Caenorhabditis elegans: one gene and its partner. The protein of the gene in region 1 purifies or fractionates together with the protein of each later gene. This does not show direct contact. Each region holds a gene or a part of one and is shown on either strand. Other genes may lie near its edges. The genes, in order: epg-7 and sqst-1.

The links.
Region 2: the proteins of epg-7 (region 1) and sqst-1 purify together in Caenorhabditis elegans (affinity purification with western blotting, with the first as the bait; one study listed by BioGRID). This does not show direct contact.

What each region holds. Positions count from the first base shown.
Region 1 is NC_003284.9:7,332,603-7,336,530, forward strand, and holds the start of epg-7 (Autophagy-related protein 11 C-terminal domain-containing protein), read left to right. Parts: upstream 1-2,111; 5' UTR 2,112-2,176; coding exon 2,177-2,236; intron 2,237-2,284; coding exon 2,285-2,356; intron 2,357-2,405; coding exon 2,406-2,585; intron 2,586-2,632; coding exon 2,633-2,773; intron 2,774-2,875; coding exon 2,876-3,341; intron 3,342-3,396; coding exon 3,397-3,928.
Region 2 is NC_003282.8:12,032,094-12,036,021, reverse strand, and holds the start of sqst-1 (ZZ-type domain-containing protein), read right to left. Parts: upstream 1,741-3,928; coding exon 1,572-1,740; intron 1,263-1,571; coding exon 1-1,262.

The DNA of each region.
Region 1 (3,928 bases):
TTTTGACAGGAAATAAAACATTATTTTTAAAACTACTTTGAAATTTTATTACAATAATTGGTATTTTTTATAATGAAAAAAGTAATTTTAAACGTTCTACCCACTGACATCAATATGATTCAAGCGCCAAGTCTTATTTTTCGTTTTTTCCGAGACCATACAGTTTTCACTTTTAACTCTTAACTCCCATTCTCACCCGGAACTGAATATAATACAAAAATAATGATTATTGATAATCATATATATATCTCTCTTATCATTTTCCCAGTGATTTTTCTGTGTTCCCGAACGCAATTATTACCTGTATCTTTCTACCCATCTGAACAAAAGAGCAAACATTGAAAGACGAGAAAAAAAAACAAAAATATTTACTGGACCGTAAGACCGAGGTCAGATAAGATACTTGAAATGTTCTTCCCAGTGTTTTTCTAAGTATGTATGTATGTGTGTATGTGAGACGGTCGGCGCCTGTACTAGTTTGTTTCTGTTTTTGTCGCATACAGTTAGATGACTCTATTCTTAATTTTGACGTTTGCATTTCTGTGCTGAACCTGTGGTGAGCCTCCATCAATGTTTAATAACTCATCGTTTTTATTTCTCAACATCATAAGTTATTTAAAATGTATGTACATGTAAAACAGTTCAGTATGATCATTATTGTTTGCGAAGTCGGTGACAGAAATCATGTGGTTTTTAAGAAAAGTAAACTGTTTTCGCTTATGTACTTGAATAGTGTTTCACATTTTGTCAGTTGTATTTCAGTTATTGTTTTTCAAAGATAATAGCATACTGTAAAAATGTAACTTTTCAAAGCATTTTTTGTTTAAAAATTTCTATAAATCGGGCTGATTTCGTCTTAAGAGTGGAGTCGCGCCTGTGTTCATTCTTAGTGTAGAAACAAACTCTAGTTTTTAAAAATTGAAGGGCGAAACACGAATACGCAGCTCAAGCTTTCATGCATTCATATGGTGCTGAAAGGACCAAATATCGTAATAAACTGTTTCAAAAAAATTGGAAATGTTTTCGTTTCTAGTAAAAAACGGTGAAAACTCAGTTCTCAACAATTTTTTAGAAGTAGGTTTTCAAGAAAATAATGCTTTAATTATGTTGAAAATGTTTATATTCCAACATTGGTGGAGTTCAAACATACCACAGTTTTGGCGAAAAATGGCACGAACTAAGATTTTACAACTTTGACACAAACGTGAAAAATTCTAAAATGTTTTGAAACGTTTTATTTAATATTTAATATTTTCCTTTTCCAATAGGCAGGTTTTTAATCAGTTCTCCAGTGGCCATACTCCATATTCAAACCTAACACTATCCGGCCAGGTGGTCCCCGTTCTCCAATCGGCTCTCATCGTAAAAGATTAACTACTAATTCTTTTTGGCCATCTGCAGTGGTCAGACCCAATTTTTCTAAAGGAATACTTTTTTTTAGAGTTCTGCATTTGTTTCTCCAACTATGTTGTAGCATGTTGAAAAATGTCAGTTATTCAGTCATGAAACCTTGAAATCGATCTCAACAGTAGTTGAATTGATGAGATCAACCCACCTACAAATGTCAATGCACTAACTTTGTACTTCGCCATAAAATTCAAAATTTTACTTTCAGTCAGTTATGAAGTGTGGCGTCTCAAATTGTTCTACTGATAGCATTTTGAAATAAAAAAATCAAGATAATCAAAACACACCTGGTCACTCTAAATACCTTTTTACACTAACAAAATCATTCTCGTCTTGATTTCAACATCGATCTCTGCCCAACTCACGGGATGAATATGAGGGCCGTGGCTATGCCTGTGTCAGTGATGTGCGTGTGAGTGTGCAACAACGCTCACTGCCAACGCAAAAGTGCGTTGTGATGCAAGAGATTTAGAGAGAACGACAAAGAGGCAAAGGGAGCGTTTTCTGCCTCGCAGAGGAGGGTCTCCGCTCACAAGTCGGCCTCGTTTCTGCCTCTGTACGTCACGTGATTTGCAGCCGCAACACCACATTTGACGCAACATCACACAGTCATTTGCCATATCGACTCTCTTGTTTTTCTGTACTCTCTCTCGCTCATTTATCTCGTTCCAGATTATTTCCCAAAGCCGCTTGTTTTTACTCGATTTCCTCGTTATACCAATTTAATTTTCGACTTTAAAGTTAAGGTTTCAAATTTTTAGATTCAAAAATGATAATGTATCATATATTCTACATGGATAGGGGCCAGGCCATGGTATTTGATTTAAATGTAAGTTTAAAAACCTGGCTATCAACTCATGAAATAGTAAACTTACAGGCAGAAACTACAACATTCAATGTACTACAGGATATGGTATCCAAGGAGGTTGGTCATCGAATCTCTGATCTGGTATGTGTTTTGTCATTTATTGAAGTCAAAACGTGTAACGGATTTGCAGACTTTTCTTGATGAAAGCGGTACTACCCCGGATGGTAACAAAAGTTTGGCAGAGATCAGTACTCTTGGCACTGAAACATCTCCAGTGTACTTTTTTCTAAAATCTGGAAACGAAAGAGAAAACCACAACGGCAGTGATGTGACGTACATTTTTCAGATGATTGACGATGCTGTTGATCAGGTTAGTTGTTTTCAAAACATTTATAAGAAAGCAATCTTGTATTCCAGGCACAATACGTTCTGAAAAATCAGGACCCTCTGAAAATCTACATGGAGCTGCCAGAACGAGCAAAAAACTGTAGAAAAGTCTGCGCAGAGACTTTGCAAATGTGTGCCAGGCTGGTCCAACAGCATAGGTTTTTACATAAGGTAGGATTTCGACAAGAATTTTAATTATCAATATTTATTTGAAAGAATCTTTACCTTTCACGATATTCCAGTTACCAAAATTTACAATGGTAATCGTTTCAGGGTTGGTTGGCGTTGATTAACAATCTGGATATATCTGTCAGCAAAATGGACAAAAGGGGAAAGAAGTTCAAATTGGTACACTCAAAAAGCGAAGAACTCATTGAAAAGTCGGACACACTCCTGTTGAACTATTCCGACGTTGTTGAACAATTACGAAGGATCGAAGTTCCTTCGGAAATTTTTGTGAAACCAGCGTCTTTGATGACTTCCACATCAACTCCAATCAATCCAGACGAAAAATGTACATTGTTTGATTTTATTGCGATGGCTGATCCAGAAGCATCTCTTGATGGTTTACCTGACTTGGTTAATGAGAAGATTCGACAGCTCAAGGAGCAAAATGCTATTAGTGTATATACGAGGCTCCAATCTGTACATGAAACGTCGAAGAATCAAGAGTATCGAGATTTCAAGGGAATTAATAAACGATTTTCTCAGCTTGAGTTTAGTTTGAAAAGCTGTGAAGGTAAGTAAAAACTAGAACTAGGCCTATAACTTAAAATAACAACATATATTTTTAGAAAGAAAAAACTTGGTTCACAAACTAGTCGCTCAAATTTTGGAAACTCCGAAAATCAATGACCAGAATAAGCTACCACCAATTATCGAAGAACACCGTCAATGCATGCTGACTATTTTCGAAAACTTTTCAGAATTTCGAAATATGGTCCGCGTTTTTGATCAGTCAAAACAGGAAATTCTAAAAAATTTGCGAACGAGAATGTCTGGATTTGTGGTTCAAAACTACGATCGATTACGCGTTGTTCTCAACGACATTGTACAGTACGAATACAAAAGCAATGCAGTTCGCATTCACATGGATCTTATTGGTCAGATTCGAGATGCACCGATTCTTTATTCACAGAGTGTTTCGGAAATTGTACGCCGCCGACTTTTGAAAACCGAACTGGAAGAATGGCACACTGATCATTCCACTAAGTGTGCTCAGTTTAGTACCGACGAGGAAAAGAGTCGGGAACAACTTGGACGAAAACTTAAGAAACATTTTCTTCATGCACTTTTCCCAGGACTTTTCGATAACTTGCCTGAGTT
Region 2 (3,928 bases), on another chromosome or scaffold:
ATTAAGCTCAGCAAGTTTCCTCTGTAATTCAGCAGAGCTGGCTTCAGCTCTTTTCTTGGCTTCTTGTTCAAGACGGGCTTGCTCAGCAGCCGCCGCAGCAAGTTGCATTGTGAATAGTCTCTCGGCAGATTTCTTGTAGCAGGACTTCTTCTTAGCCTTCTTGATCTTTGGTCCAGACAAGCTATCTGCTTGCTTCTTCGAAGATTCCTCGCTCTTCTCAGCTTCAGCAGTTTCCGTTCCAAGATATTTCTCCTCACAGTGTCTTTTCAAATTATCCATTTTCTCTTCGAATTTGGTCATTCCTGCTTCCATGGTCGAGCGTTCAATGATCTTTTTATCCATATTGGCCTGTGCACCATCTGCCAAATCCAAGAAGCTTCTGCTCAAAGTACTGAAAGTTTCCTTGAGCAACGCTGCACTATTAATAATGGCTGCACGGGTCTCCTCATTGAAGAATTGTGGTGGTGGTAGAGCAGAAGTTGGAGATGGTGGGATCCGAGGCTCCTGGGCTGGTTTTGGAACTGCTCCATTTCCGATGGTTGGAGATGGAGGGAATGGAACTGGAGTGGAGACTGGTGGAGCTTGAGGCATTGGAGCTGGATTAACTTGATGTGAAGGAACGAGTCTCGTGATAACAGTCTTGTTGATCCCCTTGATAGTTTGTGGTTGTTGGATCTTGTGCTGCATGTAAGTTGGGAAGACATTGTTCGGAGAGTTTGATGTCACATATGATGGGATCATTGTTTTCTTTGGCTCCACAATTCTGATCATTGCATGCTCATAATGTAAAGATTTTCTCTCACACTTCTCGCACAAATCATAATCGGCACATTCGAGACACTTGAACCTATGTCCGATGATGTCACCGAGGCAAGCATCACAAGACGCCGAGTGCTTCACTGGAGGGAATGGCTTCTGAACTTCCTCGACAACAGGTTCTCTTTCCTTTGCATGAAGATCAGCAACCATCGTCTCCAAAGCGCTAACTCTTGAGAGCTCCTTTTGCAACTTCTCCAGCGTCTTCAATGTGAGCTCCTGGTTGTTCTCGATACGCTTCAGCGAGGATCTGCTCTTTGATTCACGATCAGCATCGGAAGCTTTTTTGGCAGTTTCAGTGCTCACTGATGGTAGGGCTGTTGGACGAAGGGGAACAGTTTCCAGGCGAACAAAAAGTTGAGGAGTTCGAGAGAATGTAGTGATTCGAATCTTAGACATAATCTGATCCGAATTGGTGAACTCAAAGATTGGTCCGTTGACATCACCTGAAAATTTGAAGATTTGGAAAAAAGTTACTGTGAGATATCTAGGGAAATTAGAAATCTTAAATATAATCTAATTAAATTGAGTTTTACAAAAATAACGACCTTTTAAATCTAGTTAAACTTTAAATTTAAAAAAATGGTTTGTTTAAAGGCGCACACTCTTCCTCGGAACGTCCATTAAAAATTTCAATCGTGCCGAGACCGGGCACCGTACTTTTTTGTCATAACATAGGTGTGGCATACAAATACTCTATTTGCACAATTGATTCGTCTAGCAAACGGGGCAAAAACAAAAGTATAATATCTTACCGTAGTAGAGACGATAATCAGCCGATGGGAACAGTTCTCTTGCCTTCTCGGAGATCTGTTGAAGAGCCTGATCGTTCTTCAAAATCATGAGAACCGATTGCGGATTGTGACTTGTATAGAAAGTCACACGAACTTGCATTTGGTGAGGAGCGGATGATGCAGCAGCCATCTGAGTAAAATGAGAAGTTATTTGAAAGTGAGTGAAAAGAGAGTGAAAGATAATAGAACAAGTATTGACATTATTGAGTTGCGAGAGTTGCGAAATCGAAAAAAGGAAATTTCGAAATATTATACTTCGAATAATCATCATAATGATTGTATTGTGTAAGAAATTGAAACCATAATTCATTTTTTTGGAGAATAATGCAACAACAAAAAGGAAATGTACTATTTTTGGAACCTTTAAAGATGTTTACGAGATGAACAAAGGGGGCAAGAACGGAGATATGAAAAGAAAAACACTCAAGGCTTCAAAGTTCAAGGTGGTATCTAGATCTAGTAGATCACTTCCAACAAGTTTTTATTATCATTCATCTAAATTTCTTGGAGACTATTTTTGTTAGGATCTAGTTGAACAGATTCTCTAGAACTAAAATATAAACTTTCATTATCATAAGTGACTAATTTCGTGAAGGCGTCAAAAATTTAGTAGCAGTAGAGAGTTGCCTGTAGGCAGGCAAGTAGGTACTGTTGGGCCTACAAGAAAGTTATGTAAAAATGCAATTAAATATTATCCATACGCGAAATGTTGTGATTTTTGCGCCAAAACTACGGTACCCGGTCTCGACACGACAATTTTTTTCAAATTCCAACCGGTACTGTATTCTAAAACTTTTTTCTAAAACAATTCTGTGCTTTTAAATTTCAATTTTTAGTCTTTAAATAAACAAATAAATTGTTAAGGAAAACAATTAAGCAGCAAAAAACGTTTGAAATTACAGTACTCTTTAAAGGCGCATACTTGCTTGTATTTTACAACAAAAAAGCGTGTTGAGACCGGGTACCGTATTTTTGACGGAAAAAATCAGAAAGGATAATACACAGCCTCCTCACGTGGAAATGACCCAACAAGGGGGCTTGCGCGTTTCTCGTGAGCGTTGCAAAATTTTACCACTGAAAAATGATTTCCTTCGGTTTTTGTGGGTTTAAAATCGATTTCATACTTTGAAATTAGGTATCAATTGTAAAGCTAATTCGGGGAAAGGTGGAGAAAAAAGTTTTTTGATTTTGGTTCAAAAATAAAAGCGCTGATATAAAAAGTAAAAACAACTAAAAATTGAGTTTTTCTCATATTTTGTATATTTATCATCATTTTTCTAGTAGAAATTGATGTTTATTTGAAAAGTAATCTTCCACCCAAGCTTATGTTATGAAAAATATAAAGAAAAACAGTAAATTGAAAGTTTTGGTAATTTCTCAATTTTCCACGCGATGCACGAGAAGTGCGCCAACGGACCGATTTCCACTGGAGGAGACTGTGTAATAGTCAAAATGACAAAAAAGAAACGGTTTGCCAAAAAACGAGAATATTCATTGCGAAATTTTGCTAATTTTCGAATATTTGATTCGGTTACACAACCGCAAGAAATTGCTAGTTTTAGATTTTAGAAAAGGAATTTCCTACTTAAATATCGTGTCAAAGCAAGAGTATTCATCTGGAACATTCCACTACCGAGCCTACGAGTGTAAGTGTTGCTATGGGCAAAATGAGGCCGAATGATGCCTCTTCATCTCTGTGTCTCGCATTCTTTCTCGATATTTCTATGCATAAACACATGACCAGCCTCCTCTAGGCCGATTGATTGTCCCTCTGCATAGGGCCCAAGGTGAGACGCAGATTGCAGACGGCTTCGCGAATAGTGTAGGCTGTGAGAAAGAGACGAATGACGAGAAAATACGCACAGCTGAGTGAACGGGGAATCGATGGTTTATCGACCGAAAATGGAACTGTTTTAGGAGTGAAGTGTTGCTTTTTTTTTGAATTTGAGGCGAGATGAACATGTGGTGATGCTATCAATTGATAAGGTACTGATATGCTGCATTTAGTGACTGTACAGCTGATCATTTATATTTGGAGAAGAGAACGAGACTGTATGACGTCATGATGATGAAGAGGGGTTTGTTGTGAAATGGGAAGCTAGAAAGGTCTCTATAATCTAACATCGAAATTGAAACGTGGAATTTTCTGAAATTTGACTCATGACAGTCGCATTTCAGGAAATCTCGATTTTTTCCGAAACGAAAAACACCTGCAACTTCTCAAACTGGACCCCTTCAAAGCAATCTATTACGGACTGGAAGCTTAAACTTTATGATATGCCACGAATGATCTCGATGTTCCCTAAGATTCGAAAATT